3 linked regions of the Arabidopsis thaliana genome follow. The protein of the gene in region 3 interacts with the protein of the main gene of each other region in a pairwise test. Each region holds a gene or a part of one and is shown on either strand. Other genes may lie near its edges.

Region 1 (4,918 bases), on a different chromosome or scaffold from region 3:
AGTTAATATTAAAAATTATTAACAATTAACAAAACATAATTCATAATAATAAAACATTTGTTAATACCATATATATTAAAAATTTGACCAATAACATATATATATATTTTTTTTGTTAATTTTCCTTTTGGTTAAGAAAAATAAAATGTAATATTTTTTAGATATAGAAATATGAATTAGTATATGTTAATAATGATTTCTTTTTTTAGTTTTCTATTTCTTTAAGAAAAAAAAAGTTAATTATTTTCTTACACATGGCAACATCTGATCGATAGACTTGACACGTGGCATAATCTTATGAGTTAGTAACTTTGAAAACCATACTTTATATAATAAGATTTTTTTTTGTTAATTTTTCTTTTGGTTAAGAAAAATAAAATGTAATATTTTTTAGATATAGAAATATGAATTAGTATATGTTAATAATGATTTATTTTTTAGTTTTCTATTTCTTTAAGAAGAAAAAAGTTAATTAATTTATTTTTTAGTATTTCTATTTCTTTAAGAAGAAAATGGTTAATTATTTTCTTACACATGGCAACATCTGATCGATAGACTTGACACGTGGCATAATCTTATGAGTTAATAACTTTGAAAACCATATTTTATATAATAAGATGTTGATTTATTCTTACTTTTTTTGCTATATCTTTCCTTATATTTCATACTTAATATTTTTTTTTTGTTTCTAAGATACATACATTAACTCTCATATTTATTGTCTTAACTAAATTTTACTTTTATTTGTACACGTGGCTTCCCCCCACAATATTTTTGACCCAAATCCAAAAAAAAAAAAACACTATCAATAATATTTCCTCTTACCATTTATGTCTTACACACAAGTGTCAAAATATAGTAGAAGACATAGAAAATGTTTAGATTATGATTAAATATCACAAAACTTTTGTGACATAAATCATGATCCATATGCATCCAAGTTCTAATAATAGGTCGATTCGATCTTGTAAAAAAAAAAAGTAATTAATAGTAAAAGATTTTGTATTGAATTTTGAGATATTTTTCTCTCACTATAAAAAGATGAATTGTGTAGCTAGAGATCATAACAAACTCTGAGGAGATTCAAGCTAAGGTACATTTACAAAAACTTATTTTAAATTACAATGGGTTGTTGCATTTTCGAAACTGATCCTACAGACCAATAAGTACTATTCAGTTAATTTGAAAACACTTACAAAAAAAACTAAGATATAATTTAGCAACTTTAACATTTTTTATTATGTTTGTAGGGACATTAATGGGAAACTGGTGTAGTTGTGTAACAAAAGATGAAAATAGTGATAATTCTAGTAGCTCTCAAACTTCTACGGATAAAGAAAGTAGTGTGCAAGTTTCTTCTGTGAGCACTACGTCTTCTTCAGAGATTTCATCTGAATGTTCTTCTTCAAAATGATCATCTCAAAGCTCCCAATGATGGAAGCGTAACTAGTGAGCAAATGTCGCATGGATCATCTTCTTCATCTTATCAATAAAAAAATCTTCAAAATAAATAATTTTCTATGTCAATTTTTATATTAAAAGAAACTTTGTTAAAAATTATGACTATTAATTAATAACTATATTATTACATAATCTTTTAAATATAAGTTTTAGTTTTAATTTTTAATAGTTGCTTTATGTCATGCTGATGTGTTGCTACAACAAAATTCTTAGCAAAATTTATGCATTTTTTTCTTAAAAAAAGAGAGTTCTATAAGTATAATCCAAGATATATTCTTGTACTTAATACGAATAATTAAAGTTATGATTAATCCATAAAGTTCTATTTCGATGACACGGTGTCGTATTTGAAGCGACGTGGCAAATCCTTATTGGTCTATATGACGCAGAACGGGAATTGCTCTGAAGAATCCTTTCTCAGGCGAACGGAGTTTGGAGTCAAAATCCAGAGCGCGGGGAAACGAAACGAGCCAACAAATCCGCCATGGCAGCTCGTAAGAGAGCTTCATCGATCTCAATTCCCAACAAACCGGACCCGTCGGAACCCAACTCAGCGCCATCGGAGCAGAAGATGACCCGAAAGACGGTTTCTGCTTCCGGTGAGGAATTTCGTCTCGCGCCGCCGAAATTAGGAGTGATCTTCGTGATCTCTACTCTTCTCTGTTCGCTCTATCTATACCTTCTCTGTTTTCACTACAAGGTTGATAATGAGCTCAAGCGATCGATTCTAATTAACGCGGGGCTTAGCTTGGTTGGGTTTTTCGTCACTCTCAAAATGATTCCTGTTACTGCCAGATACGTTCTGAGACGTAACATGTTTGGTTTTGATATCAACAAAAGAGGCACGCCTCAAGGAGATATTAAAGTGTGAGTTTTTATCAATCTCTGATTTTCCAAAGATTAAGATTAGTTTGATTAAAATTTCTTCATCCTCTTTGTTTTCAGGCCAGAGTCATTGGGTATTGTTGTTGGTATTGTCTTTTTGATCGTGGCGATAATATTTCAGTATTTTAACTTCACTGAAGATTCTAATGTAAGTGTGCATTAACGTCTTGTTTTATTAATCTCTGTGGTTATTCTCATTATCAATGTTTGTGAGTCTGGCTGATGATTCTGTGCAGTGGCTTGTGGAGTATAATGCAGCACTAGCATCTATTTGCTTCATGATTTTGCTTGGATTTGTAGATGATGTCCTTGATGTGCCTTGGAGAGTGTAAGTCCTAATTCCTACATATTTTTTTGATGAAATTCACGCTTATCGTTTTTGATTCACATGTTTACTGTTGTCAATTTAAACAACAGAAAGCTTGTCCTGCCATCTTTTGCTACCCTTCCACTTTTGATGGCTTATGCTGGTCATACAACTATTGTTATACCAAAACCTCTTGTTGCTTATATTGGCTTGGAAGTGCTTAATCTAGGTAATGGTTCTTGTACATGATACCACCTATTTGTACACATTGACTTGTATTTTTCTTTTGAGGAGGTAAATGATTATGATTAGCTCAATAGATGTTTTAACGTGGCAGGAAGGATATATAAGTTATATATGGGGCTACTTGCTGTCTTTTGTACAAACTCTATTAACATCCACGCTGGTCTGAATGGCCTTGAAATCGGTCAAACAGTTGTTATTGCCGCTGCTGTAAGTCTTATGGTCATACATAATGTCTCTGAATTTTTCTCATTTTGTTTCTTTTGGGTTGAGATATGATGCATCCCAGTTACCTGTAGATCCTGATACACAACGTTATGCAAATCGGAGCATCTGTTGATCCCGAGTATCACCAAGCTCATGCCTTCTCGATATTTCTTACTCAACCGCTGATGGCCACATCCTTGGCAATGCTTGCTTACAATTGGTAAAATCCCTAGCAGGCTTTCTCTTTAAAACTTTTTTTTTTTGAGTGGAAGTAATGATATTTCTGACCAGTTCTCGCAATCTTCTGCTGTTAGGTATCCTTCTTCAGTTTTTGTTGGAGACACTTACACAGTCTTCGCCGGAATGACTATGGCAGTTGTTGGTATTCTGGGTCACTTCAGGTATACTTCCAAACCCACTTATCTTCTCTGAGGCACAGGCACTTCACTAATACATGGAAACTACCAACTCTTAGATTGATCATTTGCATCATATATCCAGCTACTGTATGACCATGCAACTGATTCCCATGCCATCTTTCTGTATTGAAATTTTGCTTCTGCAGTGAAACCCTCCTCATCTTCTTTCTTCCTCAAGTTCTGAACTTTCTATTATCGCTTCCTCAGGTTCATATCACCTTTTCACTCTTCTATGGCATACGTATAATCTTGTCAACTCATGTTTCAAAAATTTAACATACTATATATGATAACTCTTCAGCTTGCTGGGATTGTGAAATGTCCGCGCCATCGTCTCCCAAGGTAACCCCCTTTGTTTTCTTACCCTTTGTAGACTGATTAAAGAACAGACGCATCACTCATCTTGTCTTTTGAAAATATCCAGGTATGATCCTGCTACCGGATTACTGACCGGCACAAAAGATGGGACACTCGTCAATGTTTACTTGAGGTTGTTTGGTCCTAAATCAGAAAAGTCTCTTTGCATCCATCTTCTCGTTTTCCAGGTAGGTCTCAGATATATGTATATCGCCATTCGTATATAATGAAGTAGTCGCTTTAGTGTTGTCATACTCTGCTTGTTTTTGCTACAGGCTCTAGCCTGCGCCTTCTGCTTCATACTTCGACACTTTCTTGCTGGTTGGTATAAATAGTCTGCAATCAGAGAAGTCACAAATACAGAACATTACTTTAGTACCTTGTACAATCGTATATATCAACAATTTTTGTTAACGTGTTGAAGTATTCTCAAGTAAACAAAGTTCATTCATTTGCTTTTTGTTGAACGAAATGGCAAAATTTTCAAGACAATGTATCAGCATCCTGAGTTTCTATAATTCCCGACAAGAGATCAAATACAATTTAATGAGTTTCTCTAACAAGCTAATCTCGAAATCCCTAGATCCCAAGTTTTTTTTCTTGCACAAACATGAAAAATGAAACTAGAGATCTATGTCCATTGTTTCTTTCTCTTCGTCTTCATCATCATTTCCACTGCTTGTCCATAGCTTGATGGTGCGATCATGTGATACAGTAGCGATACACGAGCTATCTGCTGTGATATCTAGAGAGGCGACTTTTGACTCATGCCCTGCTAAGCTTTTAACGAGCGAGAAATCTCTTCCTGACCATATCTGGTAGACAAAATATAAGAAATTGGAATCAAACTATAAGCCAATGAAACAGAAGACTGAAAAAAAAAAAAATACTAAGGCAAGGGATTATAGAAGTAGTTACATTGACTTTCATGTCGTATGAGGCAGTGGCCAGAAAGTAGCCTTCTTGTGGCTCATACTTCACTTGAGACACAAGGTTAGCATGAGCTGGTATAATGTACAATGACTTTCTCATTCTTAGA
Region 2 (4,222 bases), on a different chromosome or scaffold from region 3:
TTAATGTTCTAGGAAAATGGAGAGAAGAAGAAGAAGAAGAAGAGAAGATTGTTATCTATCCCGAGGAGATTATTAAATTATTAAGATGGGACTTTGGATGCCCACATACACAACTATTTAATGAACCTTCTTCTTATTTATTGCACTTCCCATCTCCCAATTAGCCCCTCTAACCAAACCCTTTTCTTTGGTTCTGTCTTATTAACTCTTACTAATAGGCTTAACCAAATCCAATCAAGTTCTTTGATTTAGAAAGACAAGTGTAGATGATGTGACACGTGCACGTTCCTTTCAAACCAAACAAGATACTATGATTTAAATTGTTTTCCTTAATTAAGTAATGTGGTGGTTGGAAGTGGATATTATAATGCCCTCGAATTAATTGCTAAAAAGATTCTCCCATTAAACTTTAGTGCCTTCACCAAGCTACCCACTTTTAATAATAGTAAGTATTTTTATTTCTCTCTTCCATTTTCGGTGATATAATGCTACATCTTAATGAACCACATGCATTGGCATCGTGTTGAATAAGTACACGCGTCTTTAGAATCTGATTTTACAAAGTCGGTGTTACAAGATAAAAATTGACAACACGTAGAGGAATAGAGACAATGTGTTTGTTATGGTGTATATATACACATTGGGTAAATATTGGGGCTGCTTCTACGGTAACAACCTGCTCAACTCTCAAAAACGAACTACTTGTTATTGGTAAAATCCAACAAACAACCAGAGAAAAAGAGTCATATAAATATACATTGTTAAGGAAGATTAGGAACAAAAAGAGAAGCACAATTTCTGCCACAAGTGTCTCCTAAAAGGCTACAACTTTGAACTCAAAAACCATCCAATCTTCACTCTTTTCAGGGATGCGATTTAGAACTCCACGAACCTACACACATATTTGCTCACTCTGTTTGAGAGTATGAGCCACGGTATGATCCCGACCTGCATTTTTACCCAACCAACACTCTCAATCAAGAACAAGCCCAAATAAATGGATTGAGAAGAAGGAACTTACCATTACATGGCCTGTCATGTGACCTCCTGTTCCCCAAGATAACAAAGTCCCTGTGAAACACACCACATTCATTTTTTTCCTATGTGTTATATACCATAAGCGAGCTTTAACCTGGTAAAAGTAAACTACTCACCAAACGGTTGAACAAGTTGCTTAGCGATAATGGCAATTGGAGTCCTCCAGAAGCACAATACCAAGATTAGGTATATCACAACCTAGAAACAAAGTTCTTAGCACATCTCGATTAAGGAGTTTTAGACGGAAAAAAAGAAGAAGCTTGAGCACACAAACTAAGCTACCTTCGAAGCAAGCAGACCCTTCCCATACATATCGTATGAAAGCTTGATTTCTTTGTGATGCTGCTCCAGATCTAAAATTTCAAAATGAGAATTAACAAATACACACACACACCAATACTACACCATGATGATGCAGTGCTTTAGTAGGAATATCTGCTACCAGATAGTATTCATGTTTAAAGCTAACTAACTGTTGCATCATATTTCTGAATTTCATGAACTCTACACTCACAAAGCAATCAATCATATTTCTGAATTTCATGATCTCTACACTCACTAAGCAATCAATCATATTTCTGAATTTCATGAACTCTACGCTCACTAAGCAATCAATGTAGAACTAATAATGTATGCATACTCACATTGTGCAAGTTCTTTCTCTTTAGTAGCTGCTGACCTCCTAAGTTTCGCTGCTTGCGCAAATGTGGCTGGCCTGCAAGTAAACAATAGATAAATCTCTAATCAACAACACTCATATATATATTTTTCAACAACTGCACCTTCCTTAACTCAAATCACTAGAACCAAAACAAAATGTGACAACAAAATGGCTTACTGAGACAATGCACTAGCCTCTCTCAAAAGCTGCTTAATTTCGGTTCGCAGCTCTGATTCCCTCGTGTTCTTCGACCCTTTCTGAAGAAATTCCATAATTCAAAACGATGATTCATGTGGATATGAAAAAAAGCCAAAAAGTATTATCTTTTTTACCTTCTTCAATTGGTCAAGCCACTTGGATAGCAATTGGAAGACAACGACGACGACGAAGGTCAGAGGAGCAGCCAAAAAGCCGCGATCTTCTATAAGCTTCTCTCCTTCCATTAACCCTTTTGCTGATTACTGATTCTAACGTAATTCACCAATCTGCTCGAACAATTCATAACTCAGTACCATTCAGATCAACAAAATAAAAGCCTTAATTGAATCCATCATGTTCTGGATAAACATATCATCTAATCAATGGAGGAGGAAAAGATTCTAGTGCATATAGAATGAGATCGTCGTGAGTATGATCGGAACTTACAATCTCCGTCGTGGATTCACAGAAATTTGAAGCCTTCAAGCCGAGGTTAACGTCTGAAATTGAACGAACGATGGGAATTTAGAATTGGCCTGAATCTGTAAAAGAGGAGGGTTCTGATTTTGATAAAACAAAAGTTTCTACTCGTTTCGTGAAATAAATAAAACTCAAGCCCTTATGTGTAAACAACAATAACTAAACCCTTTTTCAACAGGCTCTATTGGGCTTCGTTGAAATAAAGAAACGGCCCATTAAATTAAAACTAAACCGCTTGTTTATTTTCTTTAAAATTTCATTAAGCTTGGGTATACATGAGTACATGTGAAAAGAAACAACAACTAGGCTACAAGTTTCAGTCAACAGTAAAAGTATCCAAATTTAGAATGAATAGGATAAAAATAGATATAAATAGTAGAGATGTAGTAAAACTACAAAATGGAGGGTAAGAAATTAGAAATGTGAAAATTTAACAAACATAATGTATTCTTTTTACGTGGAGTGGTTGTAATGGTTTTACCAGAAATGGCACGCGTTGTCTCTAATCTTTCTCAACTAATCTAAAGACACTATATGTTTTGTCTCATCCGATCCCACTTAATTATGTTAATCATCTATCTAATTGGGGTTATCACCAAATCAGAGCATTATCGATAACATCGCAGATACCGAAGCTGAAAAAAGGAAGAAAAACAATGTAAGTCCAAATCCTAAACGTCGTAGCATCTTCAGCTTTCGTGTATGCATGCCATTATATTCCAATTACTTGACGACAAACTTTTGCTCCCACCACTTTTGATGTGCCTTTCAAACTTTGTATCCCCATTGTCCACTTCCTCTTTCTTTCAACCCGCTCCGTTTTGTAGCTATACTGTCTCACTTTTTTTCGTTGTTAGAGGTGTAACAATAAATTTACCAATTTAATCTAATATATCATTTCATTTGTAATGATATCAACATTCTTATCTAATATCAACAATCAAGAGTGATACATTATAAAGGCATTTGACATTTGTATATATTGGTGAATATATGTGAGATAAGTTTTGTACCTTGTGGACCAATTAATGTGGGGAGTTTGCAGAATCCGACTATGAAGTGAAACTCAAAATGCACACATGTGGTTTAGAATTGTATCAGAAAATTTTACATTATATGGGTGTTAAGAATTATATGTACTGCAATTATTATATATATCAAACACAACTAATATCTATTATATAAGATTATCACGATAGGAAATATATAAGTTTGCATCGGCTTTGCATTGAACACATATATTAATTGATACGTATATAGTATTCTACTTTTTTATAAATTAATCTTTTCGATCCCTAAATTAGTAAAAATATGATAATGTACATGCATGGATGTTTTCATTATGGGAAGGGAGCGTAGAGTAGCATTTTGATCGAGAGAAAACGAGGAGATCGAGAGAGAATGTCTTGTGTAAAAATGAGTGGTCTTTTTCACAATTATTTATCAATCAAAACACATCTCATACATATATGTTGATATCATTATTCCCTAGTCTATTGAACTCCATTTGTCTTTTTATCAATAGATAGGCCCACTTTTTATATACTTTTTCCTCCTTGCCAAATCATAAGAAGTTAAAACTTAAAAGTGGATCAACTAATTTATAGAAACCATTAACAACTTTTGACACTCTTCTTTAATGTGTGTTTCATTTTTAATTGAATGCCAATAATATAACTTTAAATTCCACTGAGAAGATTTGACGTAGAGACAAAGAAGTGGCTCCAATTCACCATCTCCCAAGCCACCAAAATCTCTCCTAAACCCTTTTGTCACTCCCTTTTCTCATATTCACTTTTTTTCCAAGGAATATTTAAAACCTCATGCAAGTTTTCTTGAATATAA
Region 3 (7,653 bases):
GAAAATGACAAACAGTAACATGGTGTAAATGACACAGTTATGACTTGGACTTCACTTAACGCACCTTCCCGTGGGAAGAAAGTCACCAAGAGCAAAAACCAAACCAAATACAACAACAGCTATGCCAACTCCAACCTGTCATGGCATGGGCCCAAGTTTTGTCATGTTATGTATGAGTAGCTTATAGGCCTCAAGTGGTTTTAGAACAAAATAAAAAATAAACACTTGCAAGATGTTATGTATGCGTACCTTAGTACCAAGACCAATTGTTTTCTGGTCAGACTTGACTGGTGCATCATAGTCAATTGGACCAAATTCTTTAACTACTTCTGTCTTTTTCTGCTCAAGAGCTGACCTGATTCATCAAAAGAGCAGAGGTCACAGAAATAACATTCCGATCAGTGGGAGGACAATGATCTTGACTATGTCTAGGGGGTGAGGGAAGTGGAAAGCAAGACAAGTGATGAACAAATCAAGAAAAAAAAAGAATCAAACTTTCATAGGAAGATCATGTCGTTGTGGGTATAATGAGAAAGTCAAGTGTGATTGTCAGAGGAATAATCCTATTGTAACCTATATATCTCTAAAGCCAATCTTCATGCTAGAATCATAAAACATAGGTACCTTCTGATGTTTTCCAGCCGTTCATCGAAGTCTATATCAAAAGATCGACCAGATTTTCCTTCAAACTGAGTATTCAGACCAGGTGCCTCTGCAAACAAATGCAGGAGTTTCTTGAGCAAACCTTTCAATTGAAACCAACTTTTTGAGATAAACTGAAGAATGCAAAAATGAAGTTATGTTCGAGACACCATGAAGGAGAGCAGCAACATCTGTTACGTACAATATGCTTTAAAATCAAATTATACTTACTTCTGGGTACAGAAACAGACTGTTTAGAAGATGATTTCCTGCAGCAAAGAAGTCCATATGAAAATATAACAACAGCAATTTAAAATTCTAAATGCTTTAAACAAACACAAAAACTATTTATACCTTTGCTGCAATGCCGGGTCTTTCTCTTCCTGTGATGCGATTTCACATTTTTGTCTCAGTACTTTGAATCAACAAAATTAAGTTGAACAAAGAAGAATTTGGAATCAAACCTTTTTTGAGCCGAAGCCACGCTTAGGGTTAGAATCCGAGCAACGTATTCGAAATAGGAGAAGCTTCGAGTTAAATGAAACGGAGGTCGTCGCCGCTAGTGTCATCAACATCCTCTGTTTGTATTGTCCTAACCAAAACAGAGAATTTTCTAAGAAAGTTTCAAAGAAATAATGAGAAGTAACGGCTACGAAGAGAAATTCGTCCGCCGGAGATTGACGATGAAAGGTGAGCTCCGTGATCGGGCCGGTAAGATAACGTTAGTGGTTCTTCTTCTTCTTCACTTTGCAGATTGTCTATTATATGGGCCGAATGGCAAAACATAATTTTGGGCTAGGCCCATATAATATTCAAATGTTAATATTCCAAAATTGATGGGTATTTTTGATAATTTAACTCGATCTATATAATTTAACAAACGAGGATGATTTTAAGTTTTTAACTTTTTAAGTGAGAATAGTGATTAAGTGTCAACGACTCATTGGATAGGATGTGTCATAAAATTAGTATTGAACCACTGAGGAGTGAAAATAAAATTAAAGGTAGAAAAATTAATTTAGGAAAAAAATATTCGGAAAGTTCTGTGAAAAGTCTTCGGATTTAGAACGGAGACAGCGAGAGGATAGAGCGCTTCTTCGGCTACAACAAGCTTTCGCTAATGGCGGTTTCCTTCTGATCACTCTCACCGGAGCCGTCATCTTCTCTGTTTTACCGATTTTTAGGGTTTGTTTCCGGATAAACTCTTCGTATGCTTTTTTTTTTTCGTTGGATTCGTTTCTGGAAACGTATCCATTTCCTGTCTAGAGATCATGTGAATTTCTCTTAGAACAGAACTCAGATCTAAATTAAAGTAACGGTGCTTGATTCATTAAACTCGGAATGCAAAGTCCCTTGCGTTTTATTCACTGAAATCTTAGTCGATTAGATCTTGAGGTCTGTTTGTTAATCGCACTTTTCTGGGGAATTGATCGTAGAAGCAATTACGCTCATGGGAAATGATGAAAGTTATAGCTAAACTTTACTGTAGAACCTTACTCTGATTATATTTCATTTAAAAATGCTATTTGGTTGGTAAAGAGAAACATCACAACTTTTCATACTTTTCTATTTTTTTCAGAAATTTTGATTGTGGTGGAAACTTGTTGTGGCAACTCTACTGAGAAAGTTTGAAGAAGCTGGAATCAAAGATATAGCTAGAGTTAAGAGGGTTCATACTAACTTGTGCTCGTTTTGTGATGTGCTGTTGTTAACGTTTGGAGGAAAAAGTTGTAGTGTATTAAAATTCAGCGTCCGAGTTCTGGGGCGGAGTTGCCCCATAGCATTGACTTTACGCCTCTACACATAGTCCGAAGGGCTAATTCAGCTCAAAACATGATGATGGATGAAGATGTTGAGCAGGCCAGTTTGATGTCTTTCAATGACAGGCCTAGGGCTTTTCCCAACATGCGTAGTAAAACCTATAGTCCACTGGTACAACTTTTATTCCTCTCTTTCTTGAGTGCTTTTCTTTTTGCTTGCATCAGATCACTGAGATGCGTATTATAACTAGTTTCCTTCTATTTCGTTTAGCATCTTAGTTTCTTGAGCATCTCGTTTTCATTTTCTTTGAAATTGTATAAAGTTTAGTTGTTTTTTGGCAGATATTCCGGATTATTAGGAAATTAAATGTCCGTGTCCTTTCGATAATTCTGCTTTTCTGCTTCGGAGCAATCTTTTACATGGGGGCAAGTACTTCTCCCATCATCGTGTTCGTCTTCACAGTATGCATCATCAGCTTCCTTTTGTCAATATATCTAACCAAGTGGGTTTTAGCGAAAGATGAAGGACCTCCAGAGATGGTTGAGGTAAGCTCACTCAGATTATGTGGTGTTAGTCATGATGTTGACATTTTTCCTTCTTTGTTCTCATCAAAAATTTGTAATTCTAATTTGTGAGGTAATTCTCTTACTTATAGATATCAGATGCTATACGTGATGGAGCTGAAGGTTTTTTCAGAACGCAGTATAGCACTATATCCAAGATGGCCATTTTGCTAGCTTTTGTGATTCTTTGCATATATCTATTCCGTAGCTTAACTCCCCAGCAAGAGGCTGCTGGTTTAGGAAGGTGCTGATACATGATTACATTCACAAGATTTATTTTATCTTTTGAATTGTTGTGAATGAAGCTTAGCCATATTACTATTTTGCTGCAGGGCGATGTCTGCTTATATTACTGTTGCTGCATTTCTTTTGGGGGCTCTATGCTCAGGTATTGCTGGATATGTTGGAATGTGGGTGTCAGTTCGTGCTAATGTGCGGGTCTCCAGTGCTGCCAGACGATCTGCGAGAGAAGCATTGCAGGTTCTTCTTTAGTTTAGCTATTTTGGTAACATGTCATGTACACGTTTCCAAATACTAAGTGGCAGATATAATGCAGATAGCCGTTCGTGCTGGTGGGTTTTCAGCCCTGGTTGTTGTTGGTATGGCTGTGATTGGTATCGCCATCCTCTATTCTACATTTTATGTGTGGTTGGGCGTGGGTTCACCAGGCTCAATGAATGTTACTGACCGTAAGTCTTCTGCTCTTTTTTTTTTATGAAAAATATTCATTTTCGTCTTGTGTGTATATTCTATAATCATTGTACTGAGTTTCAAAAAGTTATTGTTATCTTTTCAAAGGATCATTTTCAGACATGAGCAGTATTTTCTTAAATATGTCATGACTTGTATTAATCTTGATTGAGGTGGGGTACCAATACAGTTCTAAGATTTTCAGTGAACCCTATATGTAATTCTCTTGATTTATTGACCAGAATTTGCATTTGCATGGGCGATAGTGGAGCTATTAAACTTGTAAGATTTATTGATTGAATTTTCTGTTTCTCTTACAGTACCTCTTCTTCTTGTCGGATATGGTTTTGGTGCTTCGTTTGTTGCCTTATTTGCTCAGTTGGGTGGTGGAATATATACTAAGGGAGCTGATGTTGGGGCAGATCTCGTTGGGAAAGTTGAGCAGGGAATTCCCGAGGATGATCCTCGAAATCCTGCTGTTATTGCTGATTTGGTATTTGATCTTTGTTCTTTTTGTTTCTTACTTTCTTGATTCTGTGATTCCCAAACGTGACATCCTTGTTTGGGGCATATATCACTCTACAAGGGTTTGCTTGTGTTTTCGTCATTTAGGCATTTAAAGCCATTTTCATCTTCTTGTAGGTTGGAGACAATGTGGGGGACTGTGCTGCTAGAGGTGCTGATTTATTTGAAAGTATAGCTGCAGAAATCATCAGTGCAATGATACTAGGTGGAACAATGGCTAAGAAGTGCAAAATTGAAGGTGCACCATCTCTCTTTAAAGTTACTTCTGGTATATGCAAATATATAACTTATGGTGTGAGTTCCTGACTCATACCGAGAAAATTAAATGAACTGCTAGGATTTTATAATCTGAAATGCAAACTTAGGAAGAGTTGCATAGAGAGTTCAAGCTCGTAAATTACATTCTGTATACAGAATAATCTACGCTTTATTGCATGTTTTGGTCACTCCTTGAGGATTTGAGGGTACATTATTACTTGTTAGGATTTAAAAAGTCGACATAAGTTGTATAGAGTTATTGTTTGAAGCACCTTGTACGAACCTGCTATGCATTGTGTGAAAATTGAAGGAAGACTACTTTTCATGACAGCAAGCTACACTTGGCTGCAGTCAAAAAATTTCAATAACATTACCCATTTCTAGCAGTGGTTGTTAGATATGCGCTGATAAACATCCTATTAAACCTCTTGTTCATGCTTGATACTTACTCAAATCTTTCTCTATTATGCAGATCCATCAGGCTTTATCCTTTTTCCTCTAGTTGTTCATTCTTTTGACTTGATTATATCCTCAATTGGTATTCTATCAATCAAGGGAACACGTGATGCTAGTGTGAAATCTCCGGTAGAGGATCCAATGGCTGTACTTCAGAAAGGATATTCTCTGACAATTATATTAGCTGTTATAACATTTGGCGCGGTAATGTTGTCACACATAACCATTGATTGTCTTGTTCCTTTCATTCTTTTTACAATTAATTCTGCTTTTTATGGGCTTTTTGGTTCAGACTTTTCATTAGCCTACACTAGCCTTGTTATTACTGAAATTTCGAACAAATTCTTTGCTATATTCTTCTGACAGCATTATTTATGTTTGTAGTCGACTCGCTGGCTGCTTTACACTGAACAAGCTCCATCTGCATGGTTCAATTTCGCCCTATGTGGGTTGGTTGGCATCATCACAGCCTATATCTTTGTCTGGATATCCAAATATTATACAGACTATAAGCACGAGCCTGTTCGGACGTTGGCTCTTGCTAGCTCGACTGGTCATGGGACTAATATCATTGCTGGAGTAAGCTTGGGCCTGGAATCAACTGCTCTTCCAGTTTTGACTATAAGTGTAGCTATTATTTCTGCGTATTGGTTGGGCAATACCTCGGGTCTAGTGGACGAAAATGGTATTCCCACTGGAGGTCTATTTGGAACAGCCGTTGCTACAATGGGAATGCTAAGCACTGCAGCTTATGTCCTTACTATGGACATGTTTGGCCCCATAGCTGACAACGCTGGTGGGATTGTCGAGATGAGCCAGCAGGTAAGATGTCACATGATTGGCTTGAAAGGCTCTTATGTTCCATCTTTATTCTATGTAGAAATAATAAATGTTTCGTGCAGCCAGAGAGTGTCCGTGAGATCACTGATCTTCTTGATGCTGTTGGGAACACCACAAAAGCAACAACGAAAGGGTTTGCCATTGGATCTGCTGCACTTGCATCATTCCTTCTCTTTAGTGCGTATATGGACGAGGTTTCAGCGTTTGCTAATGTGTCTTTCAAAGAGGTAGATTTCGTTATGCATCGTTGCTGTATTCTCGATGTTGAGACAACTTCTCATACTCATCCTCGGATAAAATCAGGTTGATATTGCTATCCCAGAAGTGTTCGTTGGTGGATTATTGGGTGCCATGCTTATTTTCCTCTTTAGTGCTTGGGCATGCGCGGCAGTTGGTCGAACTGCACAAGAGGTTGTCAACGAAGTAAGAAGGCAATTTATTGAGAGGCCTGGCATAATGGTGAGCATATTTTTCCTTTTGAGTGCTTCACCTTTTCTTGTGTATTGGCTTGTACCGTTGTTGACTAGCAAATATCTTGTTGCAGGAGTACAAGGAGAAGCCAGATTATAGTCGCTGTGTCGCCATAGTCGCATCTGCAGCTTTAAGAGAAATGATAAAGCCAGGAGCTTTAGCTATTGCATCACCCATTGTAGTTGGTAAGTCAGTAATATCTACTCGTTTTTCTTTACTTACTGTATTGAAAGTTTGAAACCACAACATTGTGACCAAAAACAAACCTCTTGTTCTCTCTTTCAGGTTTGGTGTTTCGAATCTTGGGTTACTACACAGGACAACCTCTGCTCGGAGCAAAAGTTGTAGCTTCTATGCTCATGTTTGCAACAGTTTGTGGTATCTTAATGGCACTTTTCCTAAACACGGCGGGAGGTGCTTGGGACAATGCAAAGAAATACATAGAGACCGGGGCACTTGGGGGCAAAGGAAGTGAAGCTCACAAAGCAGCTGTGACTGGTGATACGTAAGTATTTTCGTTCTACTTCAACACTCATTCAAAGTTATATTCCTGAATACGATTTCTCATTAGAATTCATCTGAAAATTGTAGCGTGGGAGATCCGTTCAAGGACACAGCCGGTCCATCCATTCACGTCCTCATAAAAATGCTTGCGACTATAACTCTCGTCATGGCTCCGGTTTTCCTCTGAAAGTGAACCGTTACTTATCCATCCCGGCTTATTTACTCTCTTGCACATATACAAATAGAGAGGGAGAGAGGTTGGTTATAAAATGATTTACATGGATTAATGGTTTTTGTGTTTCATTTCATCTGAATAAATGAGATAATTCTGTTTTTGAGTTTAGAGACACTCTTTAAGGAATTCTAGAGACATTTTAATCAACCACATCTTTGACTTTGAGAGTCTTTATTTTCCTCGATTTAATCTTTCTAGTACTTCTTCTTACTCTTCTTGATTTGCCTCCAACTCGTACAGACAATTGTCTACTCGGTAGTCTTATGAGACGGCGGTTGTTGCGATTGCTGCCATGATGGTGGTGGCTGTGTTTGCTTCCTAGTCTTCTTCTTCTCTGCTTTGGTCTAATGTTATCTATTCGACTGGGACTGTCCGATGAACTTGATTCATCATCACTCGGATAATCATAGGTCGTAGCTTCTATATCATCGAGACGTTTTCTGCGACGGTTGACCCGATTTATGTTAGTCAAACTGTGACACAAGCAACTAATCATCTCTCCAATGTCGAACCAGTACGCTGCACAAGCGGCACATGACATTTTGCAGATACTTTTCACAACACATTGGCAAATTCCAAGCTTGAACAGGAGGGTGATGAACATCAAAACTGGGAAAAAGAAACAAATACAAAATTATAGAAAACAAAGGAAAGTTCACAGAATCAATAGTGAATGCTAAAAATCGGAAATAAGAGAAAGGTTTACTT

What was found.
Region 1: the proteins of VP2 (region 3) and GPT interact in a protein complementation assay, tested with the Arabidopsis thaliana proteins (one large-scale study listed by BioGRID).
Region 2: the proteins of VP2 (region 3) and AT4G16444 interact in a protein complementation assay, tested with the Arabidopsis thaliana proteins (one large-scale study listed by BioGRID).

What each region holds. Positions count from the first base shown.
Region 1 is NC_003071.7:17,299,817-17,304,734, forward strand, and holds GPT (UDP-glcnac-adolichol phosphate glcnac-1-p-transferase), read left to right. Parts: upstream 1-1,755; 5' UTR 1,756-1,945; coding exon 1,946-2,328; intron 2,329-2,406; coding exon 2,407-2,494; intron 2,495-2,582; coding exon 2,583-2,674; intron 2,675-2,763; coding exon 2,764-2,882; intron 2,883-2,990; coding exon 2,991-3,106; intron 3,107-3,195; coding exon 3,196-3,323; intron 3,324-3,417; coding exon 3,418-3,504; intron 3,505-3,668; coding exon 3,669-3,729; intron 3,730-3,823; coding exon 3,824-3,864; intron 3,865-3,946; coding exon 3,947-4,067; intron 4,068-4,154; coding exon 4,155-4,214; 3' UTR 4,215-4,395; downstream 4,396-4,918. Other genes in the region: LIS (WD-40 repeat family protein / small nuclear ribonucleoprotein Prp4p-like protein), read right to left, coding at 4,503-4,694, 4,798-4,918.
Region 2 is NC_003075.7:9,273,915-9,278,136, forward strand, and holds AT4G16444 (tail-anchored protein insertion receptor WRB-like protein), read right to left. Parts: upstream 2,534-4,222; 5' UTR 2,345-2,533; intron 2,185-2,344; 5' UTR 2,143-2,184; coding exon 2,032-2,142; intron 1,957-2,031; coding exon 1,877-1,956; intron 1,754-1,876; coding exon 1,683-1,753; intron 1,392-1,682; coding exon 1,321-1,391; intron 1,237-1,320; coding exon 1,155-1,236; intron 1,072-1,154; coding exon 1,022-1,071; intron 949-1,021; coding exon 877-948; 3' UTR 524-876; downstream 1-523.
Region 3 is NC_003070.9:29,669,865-29,677,517, forward strand, and holds the start of VP2 (vacuolar H+-pyrophosphatase 2), read left to right. Parts: upstream 1-1,630; 5' UTR 1,631-1,827; intron 1,828-1,915; exon of another isoform or gene 1,916-2,127; intron 2,128-2,221; 5' UTR 2,222-2,475; coding exon 2,476-2,574; intron 2,575-2,744; coding exon 2,745-2,948; intron 2,949-3,058; coding exon 3,059-3,210; intron 3,211-3,298; coding exon 3,299-3,446; intron 3,447-3,522; coding exon 3,523-3,655; intron 3,656-3,976; coding exon 3,977-4,149; intron 4,150-4,298; coding exon 4,299-4,419; intron 4,420-4,911; coding exon 4,912-5,099; intron 5,100-5,279; coding exon 5,280-5,717; intron 5,718-5,797; coding exon 5,798-5,962; intron 5,963-6,038; coding exon 6,039-6,194; intron 6,195-6,279; coding exon 6,280-6,391; intron 6,392-6,491; coding exon 6,492-6,711; intron 6,712-6,797; coding exon 6,798-6,897; 3' UTR 6,898-6,967; exon of another isoform or gene 6,968-7,084; coding exon of another isoform or gene 7,085-7,554; 3' UTR 7,555-7,651; coding exon of another isoform or gene 7,652-7,653. Other genes in the region: AT1G78915 (Tetratricopeptide repeat (TPR)-like superfamily protein), read right to left, coding at 56-135, 250-355, 625-712, 874-911, 997-1,025, 1,107-1,217; AT1G78922 (uncharacterized protein), read right to left, coding at 7,085-7,554, 7,652-7,653. UniProt on the Arabidopsis thaliana protein: Pyrophosphatase active in both inorganic pyrophosphate hydrolysis and H(+) translocation.